3 linked regions of the Anolis sagrei genome follow. The protein of the gene in region 3 interacts with the protein of the main gene of each other region in a pairwise test. Links are inferred from orthologs where the notes say so. Each region holds a gene or a part of one and is shown on either strand. Other genes may lie near its edges.

Region 1 (10,492 bases), about 33 Mb from region 3:
CACAGAGATAGATAGATAGATAGATAGATAGATAAAAACCCCACTTGCCTAGTTTCCAACAGACTAAGTATTATTTCTTCTGCTCCAGATAGTAGGACACAGAGAAATAGTTTTGAAGTGCAGGAAACTAGATTCCATCTTGACATCTGGGAAACAATAATATGCTTCCGTGAATTGTGATGGAGTCTTGTTCTCTGGAGGTTTTTCAAACCTCTGTCCCCCACCAGTGTCTGTGTGTGTGTGTGTGTGTGTGTGTGTGTGTGTGTGTGTGTATATATATATATATATATATATATATATTGCGCATGTGTGGTAATGTATTCTGTGGGTGGTTTTTTTGGCTTTTTAAGTCTCTTCTGCTGTGTTTTTCAGTGTTTTTATGAGTGATGGTCACTCATTGGCCTGAGAGGTTTCTTGTGTCCAAATCTGGTGTCAATTCATCCAGTGGTTTTTGAGTTATGTTAGTCCCACAAACGAACATTAAATTTTTTTATTTATATACTAGCCATGCCATGTATTGCTGCGGCCCAGTCTGTGTATATGTGTTTTGTATGTGTGTGCGTGTATATTTGTGTATATGTGTGTTTGCATATGTGTGTGTGGTTTTGTGCATGTGTTGTAATGTTTGTGGGATTTTTTGACTTTTTAAGTCTCTTCTGCTGTGTTTCTCAGTGTTTTTGTGAGTGATGGTTGCTTGTTGGCCAGTGTTCTGCTTCTCCTCGAGCTCCTGATCTAGATACCCTCTCCCGTATCCGCGGCAACCTTCCTTCCCCTCCCCCTCGGTATCCGCAAGTCCCCCTTGGTGCCCACCTGGAGGGTGGTGATGTGCTTCTCCTCTAACTCCTGAACTAGATACCCTCCCCCGTATCCGCAGCAACCTTCCTTCCCCTCTCCCCTGGTATCCGCGGGCCCCCTTGGTGCCCACCTGGAGGGTGGTGATGTGCTTCTCCTCTAACTCCTGAACTAGATACCCTCCCCCGTATCCGCAGCAACCTTCCTTCCCCTCTCCCCTGGTATCCGCGGGCCCCCTTGGTGCCCACCTGGAGGGTGGTGATGTGCTTCTCCTCTAACTCCTGAACTAGATACCCTCCCCCGTATCCGCAGCAACCTTCCTTCCCCTCTCCCCTGGTATCCGCGGGCCCCCTTGGTGCCCACCTGGAGGGTGGTGATGTGCTTCTCCTCTAACTCCTGAACTAGATACCCTCTCACGTATCCGCAGCAACCTTCCTTCCCCTCCCCCTCGGTATCCACGGGCCCCCTTGGTGCCCACCTGGAGGGTGGTGATGTGCTTCTCCTCTAACTCCTGAACTAGATACCCTCCCACGTATCCGCAGCAACCTTCCTTCCCCTCCCCCTCGGTATCCGCGGGCCCCCTTGGTGCCCAACTGGAGGGTGGTGATGTGCTTCTCCTCTAACTCCTGAACTAGATACCCTCCCCCGTATCCGCAGCAACCTTCCTTCCCCTCTCCCCTGGTATCCGCGGGCCCCCTTGGTGCCCACCTGGAGGGTGGTGATGTGCTTCTCCTCTAACTCCTGAACTAGATACCCTCCCCCGTATCCGCAGCAACCTTCCTTCCCCTCTCCCCTGGTATCCGCGGGCCCCCTTGGTGCCCACCTGGAGGGTGGTGATGTGCTTCTCCTCTAACTCCTGAACTAGATACCCTCTCACGTATCCGCAGCAACCTTCCTTCCCCTCCCCCTCGGTATCCACGGGCCCCCTTGGTGCCCACCTGGAGGGTGGTGATGTGCTTCTCCTCTAACTCCTGAACTAGATACCCTCCCACGTATCCGCAGCAACCTTCCTTCCCCTCCCCCTCGGTATCCGCGGGCCCCCTTGGTGCCCAACTGGAGGGTGGTGATGTGCTTCTCCTCTAACTCCTGAACTAGATACCCTCCCCCGTATCCGCAGCAACCTTCCTTCCCCTCTCCCCTGGTATCCGCGGGCCCCCTTGGTGCCCACCTGGAGGGCAGCGAAGCCAGCATTATGCTTCTCCTCAAGCTCCTGAACTAGATACCCTCCCCCGTATCCGCAGCAATCTTCCTTCCCCTCTCCCCCGTATCCGCGGGTCCCCCTTGGTGCCCACTTCGAGATCGGCATTGTGCTTCTCCTTGAGCTCCTGATCTAGATACCCTCCCCCTTACCTGTGGCAACCTTCCCCCTCCCCCAGTATCCGTGGGTCCCCCTTTGTTCCCACCTGGAGGGCGGTGATGTGCTTCTCCTCTAAGTCCTGATCTAGATACCCTCCCCCATATCCGCAGCAACCTTCCTTCTCCTCTCCCCCGGTATTCGCGGGCCCACCGGTTGGTGCCCACCTGGAGGTCGGCGAGGTCGGCATTGTGCTTCTCTTCGAGCTCCTGATTTAGATACCCTCCCCCATATCCGCAGCAACCTTCCCCCTCCCCTGGTATCTGCGGGTCCCCCTTGGCGCCCACCTGGAGGGCGGTGATGTGCTTCTCCTCTAACTCCTGATCTAGTTACCCTCCCCCTGTATGTGGGTCCCCCTTGGTGCCCACCTGGAGGTCGGCATTGTGCTTCTCCTCGAGGTCCTGATCTAGATACCCTCTCCCATATCCCTGTATCTAGATACCCTTCCCCGGTATCCGCGGGTCCCCCTTTGTGCCTACCTGGAGGGCGGCGATGTGTTTCTCCTCTAACTCCTGATCTAGATACCCTCCCCTGTATCCCTGTATCTAGATACCCTCCCCCATATCTAGATACCCTCCCCCATATCCGCGGCAATCTCTCCCCCGGTATCTGCGGGTCCCCCTTTGTTCTCACCTGGAGGGAGGTGATGTGCGAGCTCCTGATCTAGATACCTTCCCCCGTATCCGCGGCAACCTCCCCCCTCCCCCGGTATCCGCCCCCCCCCCCCCGTTGGTGCCCACCTGGAGGGCGGCGAGGTCTGCGTTGTGCTTCTCCTCGAGCTCCTGGAGCTGCTTCTCGAGGGCCTCGTTGGCTCCGCGCGTGGCCTCGATCTCGAGGGTCTTGGCCTTGAGGAGGCGGCGGCTCTCGGCCACCTCGTCCTTGGCGGCGCGGGCGGCGTCGGTGTTCTTGGCGGCGCTCTCGGAGAGGACGGAGAAGCGGCTGCGGAACCACTCCTCGGCGTTCTGCATGTTGCGGGCGGCGAGGCGCTCGTACTGGGCGCGGATGTCGCGGAGGGCGGCGGAGAGGTCGGGCTTGGCGCTGGCGCCCAGGTCGGCCTCGGCGGAGAGCTGGGCGCCTTGCTGGGCCACCTGGGCTTGCAGCTCGGCCAGCTCCTCCTCGTGCACCTTCTTGAGGAAGGCCAGCTCGTCGAGGAGCGAGTCGACGCGCTTCTCCAGCTCGGCGCGGCCCAGCGCGGCTTCGTCGGCGGCCTTGCGGGCTTCCAAGAGGCGGGCTTCGGCTTCCTCTCGGGCGGCGGCCTCCTCCTCGACGCGCCCGGCCAGCGCCCGCAGCGTCTCCTCCAAGCCTTCGCGCTCCCCTTGCAGCGCGGCTCGCTCGTGGCCGGCCTCCTCGGCGGCGAGGCGCAGCTCGCGGATCTCCTGCTCGTAGAGGGCGCGGAAGCGGGAGGGCTCGGCGTGCCTCTGCCGCAAGCCCAGCAGCTCCGCCTCCAGCGCCTTGTTCTGCTGCTCCAGCTCGTGGACGCGCTCGATGAAGCAGGCGAAGCGGTCGTTCAGGTCCTGCAGCTGCGCCTTCTCCTGGCTCCGGATGGCCTTCAGGTCGTTGCTCAGCGCCGCCACCTGCGTCAGGTCCAGGCTCTCCGCCGCCAGCGCCGCCGAGAACGACGACGAGGCCGACGACGACGCCGCGTAGCTCCGCCGCACCGACACCGACGACAGCGGCGCGGACAGGCTCGAGTAGGTCGAGCGGGAGGACGCCCCGTAGCCCAGCCCTGCGCCCAAGCCCCGCACCCGCGACGACGACGAGGAGGACACCCCGCCGTCGGCGAAGCGGCGCTTGTAGGCCGGGAAGTACGTCTCGTAGCCGAACGAGCTCATCGTCTTGCCCGAGTTTGCCTCAGAGAGGAGAAGGAGAAGGAGCAGCAGAGGAAGAGACAACCTTCTGCGGAAGAGCGCCGCACTCCGCTCCTATTTATACCCAACAAAGTGGGCGGGGACTCCTCTCGCCACGCCCCTCTCTGCCCGCGTTAAGCCACACCCCCTTTACTGCTGTGGAAGAGAACCACAGACCTAGAGTCGGATTCATAGAATGCTAGAGTTGGTTGAGGCAAAGGTGAATGTTGCAATTAGTATTGAATGGTCTTGCAGCTTCGAAGCCTGGCTGCTTCTAACAGCTACCATCCACTCCAACACCATTCTGCCAAGAAGCAGGAAACTCCCGTTCAAAGCACCCCCAACAGCACCCCCATCCATCCTCTGTTGAAAAGCCTTCAAAGAAAGAGGCTCCACGACACACCGGGGCAGAGAGTTCCACTGCTGAACGGCTCTCACATAGAATCCTAGAGTTGGAAGAGACCTCATGGGCCATCCAGTCCAACCCTATTCTGCCAAGAAGCAGGAAAATCCCATTCAAAGCACCCCCAACAGATGGTCATCCATCCTAGAGTTGGAAGAGACCTCGTGGGCCATCCAGTCCAACCCCATTCTGCCAATTAGAACAAAAAATCCAATTCAAAGCACCCTCAACAGATGGCCATCCAAACTCTGTTGAAAAGCCTTCAAAGAAGGAGCCTCCACCACACTCCAGGGCAGAGAGTTCCACTGCTGAACAGCTCTCACATAGAACCCATTCTGCCCGACAGATGGCCACCCAGCCTCTGTTTCAAAGCCTCCACCGCACTCAGGGGCAGAGAGTTCCACTGCTGAACAGCTCTCACATAGAACCCATTCTGCCCAACAGATGGCCACCCAGCCTCTGTTTCAAAGCCTCCACCACACTCAGGGGCAGAGAGTTCCACTGCTGAACAGCTCTCACATAGAACATTCTGCCATGAAGCAGGAAAATCCCATTCAAAGCACCCTCAATAGATGGTCATCCATCCTAGAGTTGGAAGAGACCTCATGGGCCATCCAGTCCAACCCCATTCTGCCAATTAGAACAAAAATCCCATTCAAAGCACCCCCAACATATGGTCATCCATCCTCTGTTGAAAAGCCTTCAAACAAGGAGCCTCCACCACACGCCGGGGAGGAGAGTTCCACTGCTGAACAGCTCTCACATAGAATCCTAGAGTTGGAAGAGAATTCATGGGCCATCCAGTCCAAACCCATTCTGCCAATTAAAACAAAAATCCCATTCAAAGCACCCCCAACAGATGCCCATCCAGCCTCTGTTGAAAAGCCTCCACCACACTCCGGGGCAGAGAGTTCCACTGCTGAATAGCTCTCACATAGAATCCTAGAGTTGGAAGAGACTTCGTGGGCCATCCAGTCCAACCCCATTCTGCCAATTAGAACAAAAATCCTATTCAAAGCACCCTGACAGATGGCCATCCAGCCTCTGTTTAAAAGCCTCCATCACACTTCGGAGCAGAGAGTTCCACTGCTGAACAGCTTTCACAGTTAGCAAGTTCTAAAAATTATAAAATTCTAAAGATGGTTGAGGCAAGTGTGAATGTTGCAATTGGCCACCTTGATTGGTATTGAATGTTCTTGCAGCTTCAAAGCCTGCTGAATCTACCATCCTTTCCAACCCCATTCTGCCAAAAAGCAGGAAAATTCCACTCAAAACACCCCGACAGATGGCCATCCAACCTCTGTTTAAAAGCCTCCAAAGCTGCTATGAAAGAGAACCACAGACCTAGAGTCATAGATTCATAGAATTCTAGAGCTGGAAGAGGCAAGTATGAATGTTGCAATTGGCCACCTTGATTAGTATTGAATGGCCTCGCAGCTTCAAAGCTTGGCTGCTTCTAACAACTACCATCCAGTCCAACCCCATTCTGCCAAGAATCAGGAAAATCTCATTCAAAGCACCCCCAAAAGATGGCCATCCAACCTCTGTTTAAAAGCCTCCAAAGAAGGAGCCCCCACCACACTCCGGGGCAGAGTGTTCCACTGCTGAACAGCTCTCACGTAGAATCCTAGAGTTGGATAAGACCTCATGGACCATCCGGTCCAGCCCCATTCTGCCAAAAAAACCCAAAAATCCCATTCAAACCACCTTCAACAGATGGCCATCCAAACTCTGTTGAAAAGCCTTCAAAGAAGGAGCCTTCACTACACTCCTGGGCAGAGAATTCCACTGCTGAACAGCTCTCACATAGAATCCTAGAATTGGAAGAGACCTCATGGGGCATCCAGTCCAACCCTATTCTGTCAATAAGCAGAAAATCCCATTCAAAGCATCCCGACAGATGGCCATCCAGCCTCTGTTGAAAAGCAAAGAAGGAGCCTCCACCACACTCCAGGGCAGAGAGTTCCACTGCTGAACAGCTCTCACATAGAATCCTAGATTTGGAAGAGACCTCATGGGCCATCCAGTCCAACCCTATTCTGCCAAGAGATATTGACAAGCTGGAATGTGTTCAGAAGGGGGCGACTCAACTGATCAAGGGTCTGGAGAACAAGCCCTTTGAGGAGCGGCTTACAGAGCTGGGCATGTTTTGCCTGAAGAAGAGAAGGATGAGAGGAGATTTGATAGCCATGTATAAATAAGTGAGAGGAAGCCACAGGGAAGAGATAGCAAGCTTGTTTTCTGCTGCCCTGGAGACTAGGATGCAATGGAACAATGGCTTCAAACTACAAGAAAGGAGATTCCACCTGAACATTAGGAAGAACTTCCTGACTGTGAGAGCCGTTCAGCAGTGGAACTCTCTGCCCTGGAGTGTGGTGGTGGCTCCTTCTTTGGAAGCTTTTAAACAGAGGCTGGATGGCCATCTGTCAGGGGTGCTTTGAATGCAATTTTCCTGCTTCTTGGCAGAATGAGGTTGGACTGGATGGCCCAGGAGGTCTCGTCCAACTCTAGGATTCTTATGATTCTATAAGAAACAGGAAAATCCCATTTAAAGCACCCCCAACAGATGGCAATCCAGCCTCTGTTTAGAAGCCTCCAAAGAAGGAGCCTCCACCACACTCTGGGGCAGAGAGTTCCATTGCTGAACAGCTCTCACATTGCTGACCATCTCTCTGGATCCTAGAGTTGGAGGAGACCTCATGGGCCATCCAGTCCAACCCCATTCTTCCAAGAAGCAGGAAAATCCCATTCAAAGCACTCCTGACAGATAGCCATCTAGCCTCTGTTTCAAATCCTCCAAAGAAGGAGCCTCCACCATAATCCGGGGCAGAGAGTTCCACTGCTGAACAGCTCTCACATTATTATTATTATTGTTATTATTATTATTATTATTATTATTATTATTATTATTATTATTGTGTGAGATCAGATAATCCAGCATATATAATCCAGCATATAGATCTCATTTGCTGTGACCGTACTGTGGTTTTGTGTCAGTAAAATAATAATAACAATAAACTTTATTTATAGCCCGCCACCATCTACCAAAGGAGACTTGGGGGGCTTACATGAGGCTTGGCCCAGCAATAGAATCAGAGAATCATAGAATCAAAGAGTTGGAAGAGACCTCCTGGGCCATCCAGTCCAACCCCATTCTGCCAAGAAGCCGGAATATTGCATTTAAATCACCCCTGACAGATGGCCATCCAGCCTCTGTTTAAAAGCTTCCAAAGAAGGAGCCTCCACCACACTCCGGGGCAGAGAGTTCCACTGCTGAACGGCTCTCACAGTCAGGAAGTTCTTCCTCATGTTCAGATGGAATCTCCTCTCTTGTAGTTTGAAGCCATTGTTCCACGTCCTAGTCTCCAGGGAAGCAGAAAACAAGCTTGCTCCCTCCTCCCTGTGGCTTCCTCTCACATATTTATACATGGCTATCATATCCCCTCTCAGCCTTCTCTTCTTCAGGCTAAACATGCCCAGCTCTTTAAGCCGCTCTTCATAGGGCTTGTTCTCCAGACCCTTGATCATTTTAGTCGCCCTCCTCTGGACACATTCCAGCTTGTCAATATCTCTCTTGAATTGTGGTGCCCAGAATTGGACACAATATTCCAGGTGTGGTCTAACCAGAGCGGAATAGAGGGGTAGCATGACTTCCCTAGATCTAGACACTCTGCTCCTATTGATGCAGGCCAAAATCCCATTGGCTTTTTTTGCCGCCACATCACATTGTTGGCTCATGTTTAACTTGTTGTCCATGAGGACTCCAAGATTTTTTTCACACATACTGCTCTCCAGCCAGGCATCCCCCATTCTGTATCTTTGCATTTTGTTTTTTCCTGCCAAAGTGGAGTATCTTGCATTTGTCACTGTTGAACTTCATTTTGTTAGTTTTGGCCCATCATCTCTCTAATCTGTCAAGATCGTTTTGAATCCTGCTCCTGTCCTCTGGAGTCTTGGCTATCCCTCCCAATTTGGTGTCGTCTTCAAACTTGATAATCCTGCCTTCTAACCCTTCATCTAAGTCATTAATAAAGATGTTGAACAGGACCGGGCCCAGGACGGAACTCTGCGGCACTCCGCTCGTCACTTCTTTCCAGGATGAAGAGGAAGCCTTGGGGAGAATCACCCTCTGGGTTCGTCCATTTAACCAATTACAGATCCACCTCACCATAGTTTTGCCTAGCCCACATTGGTCTAGTTTGTTTGCCAGAAGGTCATGGGGGACCTTGTCGAAGGCCTTCCTGAAATCCAGAAATACATTACAGCAACATGAAATATAAACAACAAAATAATATTGCAATAAAATAAATGAACCAATCAAGTAAAATAAACAGTACAAAATAACATACTGGAAAATCAAACACAGTGGGAGGGCCAAATGCCTGACATAAAATGATAAAACTCTGGATGAGATAGCAATGAAACATAGAAACAGAGTTGGAAGAGACCTCATGGGCCATCCAGTCCAACCCCATTCTGCCAAGAAGCAGGAAAATCCCATTCAAAGCACCCCCGACAGATGGCCATCCAGCCTCTCTTTAAAAGCCTCCAAAGAAGGAGCCTCCACCACACTCCGGGCCAGAGAGTTCCACTGCTGATCTCACAGCCTTTAATATTGCCTGCCATAGATGTGGGTGAAACGTCAGGAGAGAATGCTTCTGGAACATAGCCAGACAGCCCGGAAAACTCACAACAACCCACTGATTCTGGCCATGAAAGCCTTCGACAACACATAGAACCACAGAATCTCCCTCAACGGTGTCTAGAAGTGGGAGGAGCCCTTAGCTATGCTTTTCCCCGCCCCTTTTTGGATGGACATCCCGCTCCCATGTTAGCCACGCCCTCATCTCGGCTCCGCCGCAGTTGCTTTACGCATCTTCACGCATGCGCCCTTGTTGCTGGCTCAGGAAGTGCAGAGCTCTTCCTGAAGCCTTGGCCCAGGCATGGGCAAACGGGCCCTCCAGGTGTTTTGGACTTCAACTCCCACCGGCTGCTCGGAGGAATTGTGGGAGTTGGAGTCCAAAACACCTGGAGGGCTCAAGTTTGCTCATGCTTGCCTTAGCCGTTCAGAAACTGCACAGGTTCAGCACCTTGGAGAGCTCTTTTGGGAGCTCAGATTTCACTTGCTTTGCTGCCAGTGTTCAGCACCTTGGAGAGCTCTTATGAGAGCTCAGATTTAGTTGGGTTGCTGTGAGTTTTCCCGGCTGTGTGGCCATGTTCCAGAAGCAATCTCTCCTGACATTTCGCCCACATCTATGGCAGGCATCCTCAGAGGTTGTGACGTCTGTTGGAAACTTGTCAAGAGGGGTTTATATATCTATGTAAAAGTCCAGGGTGAGAGGAAGAACTCTTGTCTGTTTGAGGCAAATGTTAATGTAGCGATTGGCCACCTTGATTAGCATTGAATGGCCTTGCAGATTCAAGGACTGGCTGCTTCCTGCCTGAGGGAATCCTTTGTTAGGAGGTGTTAGCTGGCCCTGATTGTTTCTTATTTGGAATTCCTTTGTGTTTTTTTAGTGTTGTTCTTTACTTACTGTCCTTTTCTTAGAGGTGTGCCTGCGCGCGCGTGTGTGTGTGTGTGTACTAACTGTCCCCTGCCACGTGTTGCTGTGGCCCAGTCTGTATATATGTGTTTTGTGTGTGCATATATATGTGTTTATATGTGTATATATATTTGTGTATCTGTGTATATGTGTGTTTGCATATATATGTCTGTGTGTGTGTGTGTGTGTGTGTGGGTCTGGGTGTACATATGTGCCTGCATATGGGTGTGTGTAGATGTGTATAAATGTGTGTATTTATTTGTGTGATTATATGTGTATATGTATGTGTGCATGTGTATATGTGTGTGCATGCAGATGTATGTGTGTGTATATTTGTGTGTGCTTGGGTATATATATACGTATGTGTATGTATGTGTGCATGTGTATATGCATATGTGTGTATGTAGACGTATGTGTGTGTATATTTGTGTGTGCTTGGATATATATATGTGTATGTGTATGTATGTGTGCATGTGTATATGTATATGTGTGTATGTAGGTGTGTGTGTATATATTTGTGTGTGCTTGTGTGTGTATATATATATATATGCAT
Region 2 (10,649 bases), on a different chromosome or scaffold from region 3:
TCCATCTTTTGTCTGCAGTTTGGAGATAACGCCACCCTTCTGTTATGAATGAAGAAAGAGGACAGGCGCCAAGCTTGAAGAACCTATTTCGTCACGATGGCGGTACATAAGCCAATTTAGCTACTGCACCCTAAACTCTTGCACTAACATATGCACATAGCTATACATTCACATTTGAGTCACTGTTGCCCAACTTGAGTTTCTCCCTGTCCTTGAAGAACAGTACATGTGGACACCTGCCAATGCTGCTATTGATAGTTTATTTAATGCTTAGACCATAGGTCTTTCACATATAGGACATACAAATAAATACATAAAAGCCAGATTATAAAATACAATACAAAATATACCATTAAAATACTATATAAAGAATTAGAATCATTAATATGCTACATAAATCAATTGCGAGATGCACCCTTAAAATACTGCATAAAATTATGTATTGGCACAGTTGGTAATTTTTAGACAGCAATTTGCTTTCGGTCACCAGGGATCTATCCCAATAGATCCCTACCTACCTTCTAACGCACCATGTACATGGGTAGCACTATAGAAATAAATGACATAACTAATCACTATATTTTTAATGGAGAAGACTAAATCCAGGAGTTTTTCCATGCCTCACTCAACTACTGTACACTTGAACCAATGCATCTGCTCTTAGGACCAATGAAAATAAAGTTTTAGTTTTAGGTGCCCTGAGGAGGAAAGAAGGTGGAGCCAATAGGCAGAGGGTTGTGTATGTATTTCATAGAATCATAGAATCAAAGAGTTGGAAGAGACCTCATGGGCCATCCAGTCCAACCCCCTGCCAAGAAGCAGGAATATTGCATTCAAATCACCCCTGACAGATGGCCATCCAGCCTCTGTTTAAAAGCTTCCAAAGAAGGAGCCTCCACCACACTCCGGGGCAGAGAGTTCCACTGCTGAACGGTCAATTTACACTGTAGAATGAGGTTTGACACCACTTTCAACGCAGTGGCTCACCCTGCTCATCATAATAGGTAAGTAAGATTGCCTTCCAAGTGAAGGGTCTTTGCGGATGAGCACGTAGAAGACCATAGAGACCTATTCTGTATCCGCATGTTCTTTCGCAGTGGGGACATCAATTTCCAGATGTAAGGCTTGACATGCCTTCCTGTTGCATGTTTATCCCTTTTGCCATCCATTTGTGCCTTTTTGAATTCCACAGCATTGTTGCTCACAATTGACCTCCAGTTAGGATGCTTGAAGGCCATGGCTTCCAAGTTCTATGTGTCTATGCCACAGTTTTAAGCTTGACTTTAAGCCCATCTTTAAATCTGTTTTCTTGTCAAGCAACATACCATTTTAGTTCTTGGGTTGGGAGTATAGTAAGTGCTTTGGTAAATGGTGATCAGGCATTCGGACAAAGTAGACAGTTCAACAGAGTTGATGGCATAGGAGCATTGCTTCAGTGCTGGTGATCTTTGCTGCTTCTTCCAGACCACTGACATTTGTCTGCCTGTCTTCCCAAGAGATTTTGCAGGATTTTTCAGAGACAACACTGGTGGAATCATTCCAGAAGTTGAGTGCGACGTCTGTAGTAGACGGTCCATGTTTTGCAGGCGTATAGCAGGGTTGGGAGGACAATAGTTTTATAAACAAGCATCTTGGTCTCCTTACAAATGTCCCAATCCTCAAACACTGCTTCATTCAGAAAAATTCTGCACTCATACAGCTCAGGCAGTGTTATATTTCAGTGTCGATGCTGACTTTTGTGGAGAGGTGGCTGCCAAGGCAGCAGAAATGGTCAACATTTTCTAACATTACAACATTAAGCTGTATTTCCAGCTCTGCAGAGGGATTGGCTGGTGCCTGCTGCACGAGTATTTTGGTTTTCTCAATGTTCAGTGAGAGATCAAGCTGTTTGAATGCTTCTGCAAAGGTGTTTAGAATGGCTAGTATGTACAATCATAGAATAATAGAATTGGAAGAGACCACATGGGCTACAAAGCCCAACCCCCTGCTAAGAAGCAGGAAAATCATGTTCAAAGCATCCCTGACAATTGGCCATCCAACCTCTGCTTAAAAGCCTCCAAAGAAGGAGCCTCCACCACACTTCAGGGCAGAGAGTTCCAATGTTGAACAGCTCTTACGGTCTGGAAGTTCCTCCTAATGTTCAGGTGGAATATCCTTTCCTGTAATTTGAACCCATTGCTCCAAGTCCTAGTTTCCAGAGCAGCAGAAAACAACCCTGCTCTCTCTACCTTATGACACCCTTTCACATATTCATACATAGCTATCATGTCTCCTCCCAATCTTTTCTTTGGCAGGCTAAAAATACCCAGTTCTTGAAGACACTCATCATAGTGATTAACTGTCTCCAGACTCCAGGTGAGTACTAACCAAAGCAGAATAGAGAGGCACCATGACTTCCCACAATCTAGATACTATACTCTTTTTGATGCAGTCCAAAATCCCATTGGCTTTTTAAGCTGCTGCATCACACTGTAGGCTCATGTTCAACTTGTTGTCCACAAAGACTCCCAAGTTCTTTCCCACATGTACTGTTGTTGAGCCAGGCATCACACATCTTGTATCTTTGCATTTCATTTTTCTGCCTAAGTGTAGTATCTTACATTTTAGTCCTTGTTGAAATTCATTATTTTAGCTCTATAATTTGTTAAAGTGAGTATGATCTGGAGTATTAGCTCTTCCTCCTAATTCAGTGTCATCTGCAAACTTGATAAGCACATCTTCTAAACCTTCTACCAAATCATTACTAAAGATGTTGAACAGAACTGGGCCCAACACTGTGGCAATCCACTTGTCACTTCTTTCCAGGATGAAGAGGAAGCATTAGTGAGCACCCTTTGGGTTCGGTTGCTTAACTATAGAATCATAGAGTTGGAAGAGACCTCCTGGGCCATCCATTCCAACCCCCTGCCAAGAAGCAGGAATATTGCATTCAAAGCACCCCTGACAGATGGCCATCCAGCCTCTGTTTAAAAGCTTCCAAAGAAGGAGCCTCCACCACACTCCAGGGCTGAGAGTTCCACTGCTGAATGGCTCTCACAGTCAGGAAGTTCTTCCTAATGTTTAGATGGAATCTCCTTTCTTGTTTGAAGCCATTGTTCCGCGTCCTAGTCTCCAGAGAAGTAGAAAACAAGCTTGCTCCCTCCTCTCTGTGACTTCCTCTCACATATTTATACATGGCTATCATATCTTCTCTCAGCCTTCTCTTCTTCAGGCTAAATATGCCCAGCTCTTTAAGCCTCTCCTCATAGGGCTTGTTCTCCAGACCCTTGATCATTTGAGTCGCCCTCCTCTGGACACATTCCAGCTTGTCAATATCTCCCTTCAATTGTGGTGCCCAGAATTGGACACAATATTCCAGGTGTGGTCTAACCAAGGCAAAACAGAGGGGTAGCATTACTTCCCTGGATCTAGACACTATACTCCTATTGATGCAGGCCAAAATCCCATTGGCTTTTTTTGCTGCCACATGTCATTGTTGGCTCATGTTTAACTTGTTGTCCACAAGGACTCCAAGATCTTTTTCACATGTACTGCTCTCGAGCCAGGCATTGTCCCCCATTCTGTATCTTTGCATTTTGTTTTTTCTGCCTAAGTGGAGTAACCAATTATACCAAGTAAACCAATTATAAATCTATGTAGTAATAGTTTTGCCTAGCGCACATTTAACTAGTTTGCTTGCAAGAAGGTCATGGGGGGCTTTGTCAAAGGCCTTACTGAAATCAAGATATGCTATTGGAGCATCATCATTACATCGGTGCCCCTTCATTTGGTGCAATGCCTGGGATATGAACCCGGGCCTCCCACATGACAGGTGAGAATTCTACCACTGAACCACCAATTCCCTGCATCTACCAAGCCGGTAACTCTATTGAAAAAAGAGAGAATACATCTAATATATATCTCCATTGATTCTATAGCACTGAGCCATGACAGTTAAAGTGATGTCAAACTATTGATTTTACAGCACAGATGCATCCTTGGCTAACTCAAACAACCTATTCAATGCTAATCAAGGTGATCAATTGCAACATTCACACTTACCTCAGGCAGACAAGAGTTCTTTCTCCCACCTTGGATATTCCACAGATATATAAACCTCACTTGCCTAATTTCCAACAGACCTCACAACCTCTGAGGATGCCTGCCATAGATGTGGGCAAAACATCAGAAGAGAAGGATTCTGGAACATGATCATACAGCCTGGAAAACTCACAGCAACCCAGGGATAGAAATTAACTAATATTAGTATTAATAATGATGATCGCCTTGAGGCAAGTGGTGCCAAACCGTGTTAATGCCACAATGTGTAGATGCTGCACCCCTGGGCATGCTTTAGTAAGGTTCTCAATCTTTCTAATGCTGCAACCCCTTAATTCAGTGCCTCATATTGTGGTGACCCCCAACCTTAAAATTATTTTTGTTGCTACTTCATAATGGTAATTTTGTCACTGTTATGAATTGTAATGTAAATATCTGATATGCAGGATGTATTTTCATTCATTGGACCAAATTTGTCATAAATACCCAATATGTCTAAATTTGAATACTGGTGGGGTTGGGGGAGAATTGATTTTGTCATTTGGGAGTTGTAGTTGCTGGGATTTATAGTTCACCTACAATCAAAGAGCATTATGAATTCCATCTATGATGGAATTGGACCAAAATTGGCACACAGGACTCCCGTGACCAACAGAAAATACTGGAAGGGATTGGTGGGCATTGGCCTTGGGTTTTGGAGTTATAGTTCACCTACATCCAGAGAGCACTATGGAGTCAAACAATGAAGGCTCCGGACCAAACTTGGCATGGATACTCAGTATGCCCAAATGTGGACACTGGTGGAGTTTCGGGAAAATTGACCTTGACATTTGGGAGTTGTAGTTGCTAGGATTTATACTTCACCTACAATCAAAGAGCATTCTGAACTCCACCAATGAGGGAAATGAACCCTCAAATTGAACCAAACTTGGCACACAGGACTCCCATGATCAACAGAAAATACTGGAAGGGTTTGGTGGGCATTGGCCTTGGGTTTTGGAGTTGTAGTTCACCTACATCCAGAGATGTAGGATCTGGACCAAACAATGATGGATCCGGACCAAAATTGGCATGGATACTCAATATGCCCAAATATGGACACTGGTGGAGTTTGGGGGAAATAGACCTTGACATTTGGGAGTTGTAGTTGCTGGGATTTATAGTTTACCTACAATCATATAGCATTCTGAATTCCATCAATGATGGAATTGGGCCAAAATTGGCACACAGGACTCCCATGACCAACAGAAAATATTGGAAGGGTTTGGTGGGCATTGGCCTTGGGTTTCAGAGTTGTAGTTCACCTACATCCAGAGAGCACCGTGGACTCAAACAATGATGGATCTGGACCAAACTTGGCATGGTTACTCAATATGCCCAAATGTGGACACTGGTGCAGTTTGGGGGAAATAGACCTTGACATTTGGGAGTCGTAGTTGCTGGGATTTATAGTTCACCTACAATCAAAGAGTATTGTGAACCCAATCAATGATATAATTGGGCCAAACTTCCCACACAGAACCCCCATGACTAACAGTAAATACTGTGTAGGCCAGGGGTCCTCAAACTAAGGCCTTGGGGCCGGATACGGCCCTCCAAGGTCATTTACCCGGCCCTCGCTCAGGGTCAACTTAAGTCTGAAACGACTTGAAAGCACACAACAACAACAACCCTATCTCATCAGCCAAAAGCAGATTCACACTTCCTATTGAAATACGAATAAGTTTATATTTGTTAAAATTGTTCATTTTAATTATTGTATTGTTTTAAATTTTTTTTGCACTACAAATAAGAGATGTGCAGCGTGCATAGGAATTCATGTTTTTTTCAAATTATAATCCAGCCCTCCAACAGTTTGAGGGACTGTGACCTGGCCCTCTGTTTAAAAAGTTTGTGCAGGCTGTGGGTTTTTCAGGCTGTATGGCCATGTTCTCTAGAAGCATTCTCTCCTGACGTTTCGCCTGCATCTGTGGCAGGCATCCTCAGAGGTTGTGAGGTCTCACAACCTCTGTGGATGCTTGCCATAGATGCAGGCGAAACGTCAGGAGAGAATGCTTCTAGAGAACATGGCCATATAGCCCGAAAAAACCTATAACAACCCAGTTGTGAGGTCTGTTGGAAACGAGGAAAATGGGTAAATACTGATGGTCTTTGGCGACCCCTCTGACAGCCCCCTGCCGTAGGAGAAGGCATCCTGGCCCCCCACCCTCTGGGCAGAGAAACCCACAGCTCTTTCCCCTCCTCTTTTCTTTCTTTCTCCTCCTCCTCCTTTCCTCCTCTTCGACGCCCGCCCACAGCCTCCTCCTGGGCCCCTCTCTCGCTCTTTGGCGAGGCTGTTGCTATGGCGACGGTCACGTGACTGCGCCTCGGCGGGGAAGGAGGAGAGAAAGAGGAAGAAAGAGGAGGAGGAGGAAGGGGAACCGGCGGCGCTAAGACCCCGGGCGGCGCGAGGCTTCCTCGGGCGCGCCAAAGGCAGAAGCAGCAGCAGCGGCAGGAGGAGGAAGAAGCAAAGCAAGCAGCAGCCAGCAGCGCCTCCTCCTCCTCCTGCTCTCCCTTTGGCAACCTTCTCCTCCTCCGGCACGTCAGCTCTTCCTCAGCCTCGATGGATGGAGCCTCCCTGCCGCCCCCAGAGGTGCCGCTATGGTGGGTTTATCTCGGGATCGTGTCGCTTCAGAGGGGGAGGAAGCGGGGGAAGCAGGAGCCGGGGGAGGAGGGGAGAATCCATCGCGAAACAAGGCACCGCCGCCGTCTGGACCTCATCAAAAACGCCTCTGCATGTGGCGCATTGCAAACAGCTGCAGCATCAGCCCTTGCCTTGTTGAGTGTTTTTTGGGGCTGGGTCTCTGCCTTGTTGTATTATTTGGGGGAACTTGCAGGTGGGGGCCCCTACCTTTTTTTTAAAGGCCCCACAACCTTTTTAAAAATGCAGCATCTCCTTTATGCCCCCCTAAAAGCATTGAAGTGGGTGCCCCCCCCCCCCCCAAAAGAGATTGATACAGTTGTGTCAATCCTGGATGGAGCTCACCTAGTGCCCACCTTTGTGAGGTTGAAGCAGGGAGTATTTCCCTCATTGACAATCTCTTATTTTGGGGAGGGGAAGCGATATAGGGTCTTACCATAGGGGGTGTATTTGGATGATTATTTTTTTGTGCATCCATAGGGGTGTTTTTTTGTTTTGCCTCCAATCAGGGTGTCAAATGGTTAAGGAGAGCAGGTCCAAATTGATGCCTCCCCTGGCCTCATTTTCCAGGGAAAGTAGTCTGCAAAATAGAGGTGTATTAGGGATGGTTTTGTTTAGGAGGTGTAAAATAAATAAATATACTAATCTAGCTTCAATTACAATCAGGTCCAAAAGGGATCGGAGTCTGGATTATTTTCCCAGGTGGAAAAATAGGGATTTATTTATATTTTTGGGAGGTGGGGGTCTCATTTTCCAAGGGATGTGGTCTAAAAGATAGAGGTGTATATTAGGGATGGTTTTGTTTAGGAGGCATAAAATAAAGAAATACACTAATCTAGCACCAATTGGGAGCTGGTCCAAAGGTATTACTTTCCCAGGTGGAAAATGAGGATTTATTTATATTTTTGGGAGGTGGTGGTCTCATTTTCCAAGGGAAGTTGTCTAAAAGATAGAGGTGTATTATGGATGGTTTTGTTTTGGAGGTGTAAAATAAAGAAATATACTAATCTAGCTCCAATTAGGAGCAGGTCCAAAGGTGATCGGAATCTATATTATTTTCCCAGGTGGAAAAATAGGGATTTATTTATATTTTTGGGAGGTGGTGGCCTTATATTCCAAGGGATGTGGTCTAAAAAATAGAAGTGTATTATGGATGGTTTTGTTTTGGAGGGTAAAATAAAGAATTATAATAATCTAGCTCCAATTACGAGCAGGACCAAAAGGCTTACTTTCCCAGGTGGAAAAATAGGGATTTATTTATATTTTTGGGAGGTGGTGGCCTTATTTTCCAAAGGATGTGGTCTAAAAAATAGAAGTGTATTATGGATAGTTTTGTTTTGGAGGCGTAAAATAAAGAAATATACTAATCTAGCACCACTTGGGAGCTGGTCCAAAGGTATTATTTTCCCAGGTGGAAAAATGGGGATTTATTTATATATTTTGGGAGGTAGTAGCCTCATTTTCCAAGGGATGTGGTCTAAAAATAGAGGTGTATTATGGATGGTTTTGTTTTGGAAGCGTAAAATAAATAAATATATTAATCTAGCACCAATTTGGAACTGGTCCAAAGGGATAGAAGTCTGGATTGTTTTCCCAGGTTGAAAAATAGAGGTCTATGTATAATTTTGGGAGGTGCTCGCCTCATTCTCTAAGGGAAGTGGTCTGAAAAATAGAGGTGTATGGATGTTGTTGTTTTTTTGTTTTGGAGGTGTAACATAAATAAATATGTCCAAAAGGATAGACCTCTGGAATGTTTGCCAAGGTGGGAAAATAGAGGTCTATGTATATATATATATATACACACACACACACACATACACACACACATATATATGGGGGGGGGGGGGAATATGGGGACAGAAGTGGCTCCAATTGGGATCAGATCCAAAAGGATGGGGCGCCGAGGCTTATTTTCCGAGCCATTGTCTTCCACCCCATTGGTGGTCCGCTTCTCTATTGTTCCCTATTTATCCTTTATTCCTTCCAAAGAAAGATGGGACTCTCTCTTGTCTTTGATAAACAAGATCTCATGCGTGGATCCGCTAGTCGTCGGAAGAGGTTACTAATAATAAAGCCTCTCCCCACCACCACCCTGAACTGGATCTCAAGGAGGGAAAGGCGTTCTTTCCTCTGCCCACTAAAATATTTTTATGTCTTTCCTTCTTCCTTTTTCCCTTCCTTTTCCCCTCCTTTTGCCATGTTTGTTTTCCTTTTTTCACCCCCTCTCCCTGACTGACAATAGACCAGGCCTGTGATCTTTTATCAGCCAGGTGAGACCCACAGAAAGGTACAGTCTCGGCCTTGCCCAAGGTCACCTGGATCAAAGGCTGTCCAGATAAAGGCAAGGCTCCTGTATCCATGCATCGCGGTTATGTGTCTACAAAGGCAAAGTAGCTTTCAGCCTGGCGCAGCTAGTCATCATTGGGGGGAGCGGGTGTTGTTTGGGAAAAACAGCATCAGAAGACATTCCCCATTCACAACTCTCACGAGTATGAATTGCATCCCCGAGATCAAATATATGGACCACCTCTGCTGGCTGGACTGCCTTGTTTGGTGTAATTCTTCTTGCAGGCTGCCATTGAGAGAGAAAAATATAAATCCATTTTTGAAGGGTTGCTCAATTCTGTAGGGTAAGTCCCTTAGCCTCCATCTTGAGAGAAAAGGCAGGAAATAAAAAGCAACCCTTTCTGATCCTTGGGTAGGGGTGCATTTTTTTCCTACATGGCAAGGCTGTGTGTTTTTCTCCTCCTACTCAAGGTCCAACAGGTCATGAAAGCTGGAGACATTGGGACTGTGTTGTTAGTTTTTGCTGCATCTTCTTTGCACGGTCGGTTGGTTGTTGTAGAGTTCTTTTTTGATGATTTCTTGTAGAGTTGGATGAAGTTTATGTGCTGAGTTCTTTGACAATGTACGTCAGGCTCACTATCAAATATAAATAACTATTTAAGCTGACTGGCTGCTTCCTCTTCTTCCTTTTCTTCTTCCACCACCTCTTTTGTAAAGTCTTCCACTCGGTGTGCATCCACACTGTAAAATGAATGCAGTTTGACACCACTTTAACTGCCATGGTTCAGTGCTGTGGAATCATTTGGTGAGGTGCCAGCACTCTTTAGCAGAGAAGACTAAGGCCCCTTCCACACCACTGAATAAAATCCCACATTTTCTGCTTTGAACTGGAATATATGGCAGTGTGGACTCAGATAACCCAGTTCAAAGCAGATATTCTGGGTTATATGGCTGTGTGGAAGGACCCCTAGAGACGTGTATCTAAAACTCCCATGATTCCATGCCATTGAGCCATGGCAATTAGGTTAACATAGCATAGAAACTGTTATAAATTCTGTAGAGTAAGATGCACTCTGACATAAGAATCGCTGTTTAGTTGGCATGTTTAATTCCCGAAGACTTAGATTAGTCTCCTCTGTAGAAATCTTGCACGATAATCTCCATAACCCAGTCCCAGGGCCCTTCCACGCAGCCCTATATCCCAGAATATCAAGGCAGAAAATCCCACCATATCAGCTTTGGGTTATCTGAAGCCACACTCAGATAATGTAGGATTTTTTACCTTGATATTCTGGGATATAGGGCCATGTGGAAGGGTCTCCAGTGGGTGTAGTGCAGCGTTTCTCAACCTGGGGGTTTGGACCCCTGGGGGGGAGGGTCATGAGAAGATGTCAGAGGGGTCACCAAAGATCATCAGAAGACACAGTATTTTCTGTTGGTCATGAGGGTTCTATGTGGGAAGTTTGGCTCAATTCTATTATTGGTGGGGTCCAGAATGCTCTTTGATTGTAGGTGAACTATAAATCCCACAACTACAACTGCCAAATGTCAAGGTCTATTTACCCCCAAACTCTACCAATGTTCACATTTCGGCACATTGAGTATCTGTGCCAAGTTTGATCCAGATCCATCATTGTTTGAGTCC
Region 3 (11,041 bases):
TTGCCATTTGGTAATGGGGGAATTCCAGACAGCAAACAATCAAGTGCCAGTTAACATCTCCCAAACAAAGGATGCCTCCAGGCAACAACACTGTGGACATTATTCCACAGGTATACATACACTTCACTTGCCTAATTTCCAACAGACCTCTATGCAGATACCCTCACTAATTGACTTTGCAGTTGCAAGGCTACTCAACGCTAACCAAGCTTGCAAACTGCAACATTTATACTTGCATCAAACAGACAAAGGTCTTTCTCCCCGCGTGGACATTATTCCACAGATATAGATACACTCCACTTGCCTCATTTCCAACAGACCTCTATGCAGATACCCTCACTGGTTGACTTTGCAGCTGCAAGGCTACTCAGCGCTAACCAAGCTTGCAAACTGCAACATTTATACTTGCATCAAACAGACAAAGGTTTTTCTCCCCGCGTGGACATTATTCCACAGATATAGATACACTCCACTTGCCTCATTTCCAACAGACCTCTATGCAGATACCCTCACTGGTTGACTTTGCAGCTGCAAGGCTACTCAGCGCTAACCAAGCTTGCAAACTGCAACATTTATACTTGCATCAAACAGACAAAGGTTTTTCTCCCCGCGTGGACATTATTCCACAGATATAGATACACTCCACTTGCCTCATTTCCAACAGACCTCTATGCAGATACCCTCACTGGTTGACTTTGCAGCTGCAAGGCTACTCAGCGCTAACCAAGCTTGCAAACTGCAACATTTATACTTGCATCAAACAGACAAAGGTTTTTCTCCCCGCGTGGACATTATTCCACAGATATAGATACACTCCACTTGCCTCATTTCCAACAGACCTCTATGCAGATACCCTCACTGATTGACTTTGCAGCTGCAAGGCTATTCGATGCTAACCAAACTTGCCAATTGCAACATTTACACTTGCATCAAACAGACAAGGGTTCTTTCTCCCACTGTGGACATTATTCCATAGGTATACATACACACCACTTGCCTCATTTCCAACAGACCTCTATGCAGATACCCTCACTGATTGACTTTGCAGCTGCAAGGCTACTCAATGCTAATCAAGCTTGCCAAGTGCTACATTTACACTTGCTTGAAAGGGCCCTTCCACACAGTCCTATACCCCAGAATATCAAGGCAGATAATCCACACTATCTGCTTTGAACTGGGTTACTGAAGTTCACACTGCCATATAATCCAGTTCAGTGTGGATTTTATACAGCTGTGTGGTAGGGGCTAAACAGACAAGAGTTTTTTCTCCCACTATGGATGCTCCACTTGCCTCATTTTCAACAGACCTCTGAACAAACCTCTGAGGCTGCTTGTCACAGATGCAGGCAAAACATCAAGGAAGAATGCTGCTGGAACATGGCCATACAGCCAGAAAAACTCACAGCAACCCAGCGATTCTACCCATGACAGCCTTCGATAACACCTTGCCTTAAATGTTGTTGTCCACAGTGGGAGAAAGAACCCTTGTCTGTTGTTGTTGGTGGTGTTGTTGTTGGTGTTGTTGATACATAGCAAGATTAATATTTTTGTATTTGATCGGACACTTCCCAGTAATCTATATTATCCAAAATTGTACCCATCCCATCTGAACTGTCAATATAATGTCTCTTTCTTTCACACGGCACAGTTATAGCACTTATGTGCTATATGTGACAAATGTGACAGCTCCATTCCCTAGTATCCTGGGATTTGCAGCATGAGCGCCACATAATTCTGTGCCGGAAAGTTTGGGTTCCTCACCAAACTACATGTGTAGCTTTAAAGGTAAATTAAAGGGATTGTTGGGTTGCTGTGAGTTTTCTGGACTGTCTCACCATGTTCCAGAAGCATTCTCTCCTGATGTTTCACTCCCATCTATTGCAGACATCCTCATGGTTGTGAGGTCTTTTGGAAACTAGGCAAGTGAGGTTTATATATCTGTGGAATGATGTCCAGGGTGGAAGAAAGAACTCTTGTCTGCTTGAGGCAAGTGTGAATGTTGCAATTGGCCACCTTGATTAGCATTGAATGGTTTTGCATCTTCAAAGCCTGGCTGGTTGCTGCCTGAGGGATCCATTGTTGGGAGGTGTTAGCTGGTCCTGATTGCTTCCTGACTGGATTTTCCCTGTTTTCTGAGTGTTGCTCTTTATTTACTGATCCAATTTTAGAGGTTTTTTTAATACTAGTAGCCATATATTGTTTATATTCATGGTTTCCTCCTTTCTGTTGAAATTGTCCACATGCTTCTTGCGGATTTCAGTGGCTTTGCGTCTTGAGTGTTTCTCTGACACCTTTGGCTGCTGGTATTCCTAATTGCAAGGGATGTTTTTCATTTCAATTTGGGCTTTGCGTCTAACCCAAAGTCCAGGTGGGTGACCCAGTTTCCTTCATTCCCTTTTGTCATCACAACAATATAGCCAGGTTGCGGATGCTTCCATTTTTGCAGATGGCCAAAAGAGATATGATCAGCACTTAAAGGCCATGCGATCCAATCAAGGCCGAGCAAGCTTCAATTTCGTGCTTCCTCATCCGCTCTGTGCAAACACGGGCATTTAGTGCACAGAAGATAATAATAATAATTGGTGTCATTGCCTTGTAAGTGCTTGTTAAAAACAAACAAGATTTTATCAGGTGTCCAAGATGAAAGCCAGCTGAAAAGTTCGTATTCAGCGTTCTTTAGAAATCTGCTTTCAGTTCCCTCCCTAAAGTTTCTGGTCCTTATTAATCATCTTAATTTCAAAAGTCAGGGTGCATCTACAGCAGACATGGACAAGCTTTCTAACTTGGGGGCCACATGTTAGTACTCTTTGCTAGGATGACTGGCTGCCTGGTGATGGAAGGAAGAAAGAGAAGGAGAAAGGGAAGAAAGAAAGAAAGAAAGAAAGAAAGAAAGAAAGAAAGAAAGAAAGAAAGGGTGGAAGGAGAAAAGGAGAGAGGGAAAGAGGGAGGAAAGAAGGAAGGAAAGATAAAAGGGAAGGAGGAAGGAAAAAGAAAAAGGAAGGAAGGAAGGAAAGGGTAAAGTAAAGAGAGAAAGAAGGAAAGACAAAGAAGAAGGAAAGAAGGAGAAAAAGGGCAAGAGGAAGGAGAGAGGGAAGAAAGGAAGGACGAAAATGTGAAAGGGAAAGGTGGATGGATAGAAGGAAGGAAGGAAGGAAGGAAGGAAGGAAGGAAGGAAGGAAGGGAAAGAGAGAAGGATGAAAGGATGAAAGGGTGGAAGTAGAAGGAGGGAGAATTAGGAAGGGGAGGAAAGAGGCAAGAAAGGAAAGACAAAAGGGAAGGAAGGAGAAAGAAGGGGAGAGGGAGGAAAGAAGGAAGGAAGGGGTGGAAGGAGAAAAGGAGAGCGGGAAAGAGGGAGGAAAGAAGGAAGGAAAGATAAAAGGAAGAAGGAAAAAGAAGAAGGAAGGATGGATGGATGGATGGATGGATGGAAGGATGGATGGACGGACAGAAGGGAGGGAGGGAAGGATAAAGGAAAGAGAGTAAGAAGGGAAGACAAAGGGGAAGGAAAGAAGGAGAAAGAAGGAGAGAGGGAGGGAAGAGGAAAGGAAGGAAGGACAAAAATGTGAAAGGGAAGGATGGAAGGAAGGGAAGGAAAGAGAAAAGGATGGAAGCATGAAAGGGTGGAAGGAAATAGAAGGAGGGAGAAAGAGAGAAGGGAGGGAGGAAAGAGGGCGAAATGGTGAAAGGGAAGGAGAAAGAGGGAGGAAAGGAGGAAGGGAAGAGAGAAGGAAGGATGGGATGATGAGAGAGAGGAGGGCCTGAGAAAAGAGCCCAAGGGGCCGCATCTGTCCCTTGGGCCTGGCTTTACCTATACCTGATCTACATTGTTGAATTGATGCAGTTTGACACCACTTGAATTGTCATGGCTCAATGCTTTGGGATGCTGGGAATTGGAGTTTGGCGTGGTCTTTATCCTTCTCTGCCCAAGCATATCAGTCCCTCACCAAACACCAATCTCAGGTTTCCATAACATTGAGCTATGGCAGTTACAGTTGTATTAAAATGCATTAATTCTACCATGAAGACACGCCTCTGTTAGAAACTGTGTCAAATACCATTGCCATGTGGTTTGTACTAATGTGTGCACAGATGGATAAGAGTCTCTGACAGTGCCCATCTTAAATACCCCCATGTTTGAAAAAGTTACATTTTTGGAGTAATGGAAGTTCCTTTTATTGGACTCACGATGGCTATGCTGGCTTCTGGGGTGTATAATCCAAGTCAAAGAACATTTAATCAACTACCAAGCTTGCAAACTTTGTGTTTGTTTGTTTGTTTGTTTTTAATGCAATACAACTGTTTGGTTCACTCCTGGCACGATAAATAAATAGTCCAAGTATTCTTTTCCTAAGAAAATCCCATGAAATTCATAAATCAGCCATAAGTCAACAGAGGAATTTTTTGTAGTTGATTGTGATTCTGGAGACCAGGCTTCAAATTCATGCTCTGCTGTAGAAACCTACTTGGTTTATTTATTTGTCGTGTTAGGGCAACCAGTAAATTGTATTACATTTCTAACAGAACAAAACAAGCAAACAGACAAAGAACAACATTTGCAAACTTGATAGTTGATTAAATGTCCTTTGACCAGCATCTGGCCACTTGGAGTGCCTCTGGTGTTGCCGCAAGAAGGTCCTCCATTGTGCATGTGGCAGGGCTCAGGTTTCATTGCAGCAGATGGTCAGTGGTTTGCTCCTCTCCACACTCGCAGGTTGTGGATTCCACTTTGTAGCCCCATTTCCTAAGGTTGGCTCTGCATCTCGTGGTGCCAGAGCGCAGTCCGTTCAGTGCCTTCCAAGTCGCCCAGTCCTCTGTGTGCCCAGGGGGCAGTCTCTCATTTGGTATCAGCCATTGATTGAGGTTCTGGGTTTGAGCCTGCCAATTTTGGACTCTCGCTTGCTGAAGTGTTCCAGTGAGTGTCTCTGTAGATCTTAGAAAACTATTTCTAGATTTAAGTCATTGACGTGCTGGCTGATACCCAAACAGGGGATGAGTTGGAGATGTCTCTGCCTTGGTCCTTTCACTATTGGCTGCTACTTCCCGGCGGATGTCAGGTGGTGCAATACCGGCTAAGCAGTGTAATTTCTCCAGTGGTGTAGGGCGCAGACACCCTATGATAATGCGTCATGTCTCATTAAGAGCCACATCCACTGTTTTAGTGTGGTGAGATGTGTTCCACACTGGACATGCATACTCAGCAGCAGAGTAGCATAGCGCAAAGGCAGATGTCTTCACTGTGTCTGGTTGTGATCCCCAGGTTGTGCCAGTCAGCTTGCGTATGATATTGTTTCTAGCACCCACTTTTTGCTTGATGTTCAGGTAGTGCTTCTTGTAGGTCAGAGCATGGTCCAGAATGACTCCCAGGTATCTGGGTGTGCTGCAATGCTCCAGTGGGATTCCTTCCCAGGTAATAATCCTCAGAGTTCGGGATGCTTGTCTGTTCTTAAGGTGAAAAGCACATGTCTGTGTTTTAGATGGATTAGGGATCAGTTGGTTTTCCCTGTAGTAGGCAGTAAGAGCACCTAGAGCAGTGTTTCTCAACCTGGGGGTCGGGACCCCTGAAGGGGTCACGAAGGGGTGTCAGAGGGGTCACCAAAGACCATCGGAAAGCACAGTATTTTCTGATGGTCATGGGGATTCCATGTGGGAAGTTTGAGCAAATTCTATCATTGGTGGAGTTCAGAATGTTCTTTGATTGTAATGAACTATAAATCCCAGCAACTACAACTCCCAGAAGTCAAGGTCTATTTTCCCCCAACTCCACCAGTGTTCACATTTGCACATATTGAGTATTTGTGTCAAGTTTAGTCCAGATCCACCATTGCGTGAGTCCACAGTGCTCTCTGGATATAGGTGAACTACAACTCCCAAACTCAAGGTCAATACCTACCAAACCCTTCCAGTGTTTTCCGTTAGTCATGAGAGTTCTGTATGGCAAATTAGGTTCAAATTCATCGCTGGTGCAGTTCAGAATGCTCTTTGATTATAGGTGAACTATAAATCCCAGCAACTACAACTCCCAAATGACAAAATCAATCCTTCCCCAACCCCACTAGCATTTACATGTGGGTGCATTGGGTATTTGTGCCCAGTTTGGTCCAGTGAATGAAAATACATCTTGCATATCTGATATTTACATTATGGTTTATAACAATAGTAAAATGACTATTATGAAGTAGCAACAAAAACCATGTTATGGTTGGGGGTCACCACAACATGAGGGACTGTATTAAGGGGTCACGGCATTAGGAAGGTTGAGAACCACTGACCTAGAGTTTCGGAGAGCTTCTGTTCAATCATCTCAAAGCTCCCTGCTTGAGTAGTAATGGCATGATCATCTGCATAGACTTGGTGAGTCACACTCTCTGGATGTGTCTCACCAAGGAAACCCTGTGATGGGATCACTTTAGGGTTGCCTTAAGTCCGAACAACTTGAAGGCACGCAACAGCATAATTTCTTCAAGCCATTGCAGGAAAAGAAGAGCAAACTTTTCCAAATTCTCTCCAATGTGGGTAGTTTCTCTTGACCCACTCCACACAAAACCATAAACATGCCTGGTTAGGCCTCTGACTCCGCTTCCCCTTTAAGCCACCCCGATGCTGGAATGTGAGAGAGCCCCATCCATTCCCCCGTGAGGTCAGATAAGACACTATATTTATCTGGCTTGTAACCTGAGCTGTGAATTTCTGCCTATGCTGCTGACACATGCCTTGGGAGTTCATTCTGTGCCGCAGACGTTGCCCTGCGAGGGAGAGGAGAATCCTCTGAGTCTGCAAACAAGTGAGTCCTTTTGGGCTCTTGTGAATCATTTCTATTTTCCTAATAGAAAAAGCCGCTTGCTGAGACCGAACGGAGCACCTGCCGTTGATCCGGAGCGCCATCCATATGCCACGATTCCTCCCTGGGCCTGTCGTTCGGCACACAGGTGGGTACCATCAACACTGAGGCTGAAGGGTCCATCCAGAGCTTGTCTACACTGTCAAATTAGTGCAGTTTGATACCAGTTTAACTGCAATGGGATACTAGGAGATATCGTTTAGAGAAGCACCAACCCTCTTTGGTGGAGAAGGCTAAAGATGATATGATATGAAACAACTCCCAGAATCCCAAGGGAAGTAACAAAGATAAGTGTGGTCATCCCTCTGAGCATGTGCCAAATGCTCATCCAATGCGGCCATCCATCCACAAGCATTTTTGGGATGGAGGCAAAGGTGGTTTTAGGCCAGTCTGAAGTTTTATCTCCATCCTCAATGGGATTATATTGAATAATAATAATAATAATAATAATAATAATAATAATAATATATCACACAGTCCTAGACGCTTGGGAAGTGTTCGACTTATGATTTTGCGATACGAAATCCAGCATATAGATCTCGTTTGCTGTGACATACTGTGGTGTCAGTAAAATAATAATAATAATAATAATAATAATAATAACAACAACAACAACAACAACAACAACAACAACAACAACAACATGATATGAGGATTTACTGGCACAAGTCAGTAAAGGTGGTCCCAGTGGTGATCGGCACACTGGGTGCAGTGCCTAAATACCTTGGCCTGCACTTAAACACAATCAGTGCTAATAAAATTACTATCTGCCAGCTTCAAAAGGCCACCTTACTGGGATCTGCACACATTATTTGCCGATACATGACACAGTCCTAGACACTTGGGAAGTGTCCGATGTGTGATTCAATGCAACAGCCAGCAGAGTGATCTTGTTTGCTGTGGATTCATCTTGTTGGGTTTCTAATAATAACAATAATAATAATAATAATAATAATAATAATAATAATAATAATAGAGTTGGAAGAGACCTTGTGGACCATCTAGTCCAACCCCATTCCACCAAGAAGTAGGAAAATCGCATTCAAAGCACCCCAACAGATGGCCACCCAGCCTCTGCTTAAAAGCCTCCACCACACTCCAGGGCAGAAAGTTCCACTACTGAACAGCTCTCACAGTCAGGAAGTTCTTCCTCATGTTCAGGTGGAATCCTCTCTCTTTCCTGTAGTTTGAAGCCACTGTTCCACCTCCTAGTCTTGAGGGCAGCAGAAAGGAACCTTGCTCCCTCCTCTCTATGACTTCCTCTCACATCTTGATCCCTGGCCCTCATCATGTCTTTTCTCAGCCTTCTCTTCTGCAGGCTAAACATGCCCAGCTCTTTAAACTGCTCCTCATAGGGCTTGTTCTCCAGACCCTTGATCATTTAGTCACCCTCCTCTGGACACATTCCAGCTTAGAGTCAACATTTCCCTTCAATGGTGGTGCCCAGAATTGGACAGTGTGATTCCAGGTGTGGTCTGACCAAGGCAGAATAGAGCATGGGGAGCATAACTTCCTTGGAATTTGGCACTAGGCTCCTACTGATGCAGGCCAAAATCCCACTGGCTTTTTTAGCTGCCGCATGACATTGTTGACTCATGTTTAACTTGTTGTCCATGAGGACTCCAAGATCTTTTCCACACGTCCTGCTGTCGAGCCAGGCATTGTCCCCCATTCTGTCTCTTTGCATTTCATTTTTTCTGCCTAAGTGGAGTATCTTGCATTTGTCCCTGCTGAACTTCATTTTGCTAGTTTTGCCCAATCATCTCTCTAATCTGTTACATATCTGTAATAGTAGTAGTAATAATAATAATAATAATAATAATAATAATAATAATAATATTACCTGCCTCTATTCTCCGTAACTGTCATGGCAGGAGCCCCCGGTGGCACAATGGGTTAAACCCTTGTGCCAGCAAGACTGAAGACCAACAGGTCGCAGGTTTGAATTTGGGGAGAGCATGGATGAGCTCCCTCTGTCAGCTCCAGCTCCCTATGCAGGGACATGAGAGAAGCCTCCCACAAGGATGGTAAGACATCAAAACATCCAGGTGTCCCCTGGGCAACGTCCTTGGAGACGGCCAATTCTCTCACACCAGAAGCGACTTGCAGTTTCTCAAGTTGCTCCTGACATGGAAAAAAATCCCAGATTATTTGGCAGTGAGGATTTATATAATCCAGGATGGTGAAACATCAAAACATCCGGGCATCCCCTGGGCAAAGTCCTTGCAGACAGCCAGTTCTCTCACACCAGAAGTAACTTGCAGTTTATCAAGTCGCTCCTGACATAGAAAAAAAACTGTCATGGCTTCTCCCAGAGGATTGTGGGAATTACAAAGGGTTCCATTACAGAATCAGAACCCAACACACACACATACACACACACTAACCTGAAGCAACAGTTCCCAGTTGCCTTGGGAGAATGGGGATGAGAGGTAAGCCAGTTCCTTCAACCATATGCCAAAATTCATTGCTGGCATGCTGTACTGTTCTACATGAAACCCATTTACATTTTATATAGACCTAATAGTTTTAGATCGATAGATCGATAGATCGATAGACGGATAGATAGATAGATAGATAGATAGATAGATAGATAGATAGACTCATGAAGCCACGTTTGTGTAATGTATTGTCGAAGGTTTTCATGGCTGGAATCACTGGGTTGTTGTAGGTTTTTCGGGCTATATGGCCATGTTCTAGAAGCATTCTCTCCTGACATTTCGCCTGCATCTATGGCAACCATCCTTAGAGGTTGTGAGGTCTCACAACCTCTGAAGATGCCTCACAACCTCTGATGATTCTTGCCATAGATGCAGGCGAAACATCAGGAGAGAATGCTTCTAGAACATGGCCATATAGCCCGAAAAGTCTACAACAACTCACGTTTGTATACATTGAACCATCGGAAAGCAAAGGGGCTCACATTCTCAGCTATGTGGACAATTGTGAAACATGTCAGATTTCCGGATAAGGGAGGTTCTACTTGTGGTAGGAATGTCTCCCAATTCATGGAAATCACTCAGGAGGGGAAAGAGTTACCTAACCCTTTGCCCCATTCCTATGTAACCACTCCACCGCAGCTGTTATTCCACTAAAAATAGATCCACTCCAGGAGATCCCACCATGGATCTCTCTCTCCTTGCATCGCCTGACCCCGAATATCTGGTTCAGAACAACAGGCTGAGCCAAAACATCGTGACAGAGATTGCGAAAGCACTGAAGATGTGAGCGGAGTAGTTTGAGATGGCTGGAGGATATCCAGATTTGGAGAGAAACACACAAACACGGCTCACTCCAAGCAAAGGAAAAAAGAGGACTGAAAATACCAGTAGAGTGAATGCAGTTTGGCACCACTTTAACTGCTAATTATCATTGCTGTGAAGTCATGGGAATTATAGTTTGCCTTCTCAATGAAAGAGTGCTGACTTCTCATGAAACCACAACTCTCATGATTCCATGGCATTGAGCCACGGCAGTTAAAGTGATCCAAAATTGCATTCCTTCTACAGTATCGATCTGTGTTTCTCAACCTGGGAGAAGGGACCCCTGGGGAGGTCACAAGGGGGTTTTCAAAGGGGTCATCGAAAACCATCAGAAAGCACATATTTCTGATAGTCTTAGGAACCCCTTTCGCAGAGGAAGCTGAAGATCTCTCCGCCGGTCATTTTTGGAAACAGATGGTGAATCCTCCCACCAAAAGACCTCCTCCTGCTGTGATCGTAGGTGAACTATAAATCCCAGCAACTACTACTCCCAAATGTCAAGATCTATTTTCCCCAAACTCCATCAGTGTTCACATTTGGCCATATTGAGTATTTGTGCCAAGTTTGGTCCAGAGCCATCATCATTTGAGTCCACAGTGCTTTCTGGGTGTAGGTGAACTACAATTCCAAAACTCAAGGTCAATGCCCTCCAAACCCTTCCAGTATTTTCTGCTGGTCATGGGAGTTCTTTGTGCCAAGTTTGGTTCAATTTCATCATTGATGGAGTTCAGAATGCCCTTTGATTGTAGGTGAACTATAAATCCCAGCAACTACAACTCCCAAATGTCAAGATCTATTTTCCCCAAACTCCACTATAATGGGCATAATGAGTATCCTTGCCAAGTTTGGTTCGGATCCCTCATTGTTTGAGTCCACAGTGCTCTCTGGGTGGAGGTGAACTACGACTTCAAAACTCAAGGTCAATGCCCACCAAATCCTT

What was found.
Region 1: the proteins of USP2 (region 3) and NEFL interact in binary tests that used the Homo sapiens proteins (3 or more experiments, as listed by UniProt). The two-hybrid records come from large-scale screens. The link is inferred for Anolis sagrei from reciprocal best matches to the Homo sapiens genes USP2 and NEFL.
Region 2: the proteins of USP2 (region 3) and DTX3 interact in binary tests that used the Homo sapiens proteins (3 or more experiments, as listed by UniProt). The link is inferred for Anolis sagrei from reciprocal best matches to the Homo sapiens genes USP2 and DTX3.

Annotation. Positions count from the first base shown.
Region 1 is NC_090027.1:5,851,652-5,862,143, forward strand, and holds the start of NEFL (neurofilament light polypeptide), read right to left. Parts: upstream 4,054-10,492; 5' UTR 3,979-4,053; coding exon 2,887-3,978; intron 1-2,886. UniProt on the Homo sapiens protein: Neurofilaments usually contain three intermediate filament proteins: NEFL, NEFM, and NEFH which are involved in the maintenance of neuronal caliber.
Region 2 is NC_090022.1:186,265,274-186,275,922, forward strand, and holds the start of DTX3 (probable E3 ubiquitin-protein ligase DTX3), read left to right. Parts: upstream 1-6,415; 5' UTR 6,416-6,681; intron 6,682-10,649. UniProt on the Homo sapiens protein: Regulator of Notch signaling, a signaling pathway involved in cell-cell communications that regulates a broad spectrum of cell-fate determinations.
Region 3 is NC_090027.1:39,098,199-39,109,239, forward strand, and holds the start of USP2 (ubiquitin carboxyl-terminal hydrolase 2), read left to right. Parts: upstream 1-6,736; 5' UTR 6,737-6,926; intron 6,927-11,041. UniProt on the Homo sapiens protein: Hydrolase that deubiquitinates polyubiquitinated target proteins such as MDM2, MDM4 and CCND1. Isoform 1 and isoform 4 possess both ubiquitin-specific peptidase and isopeptidase activities.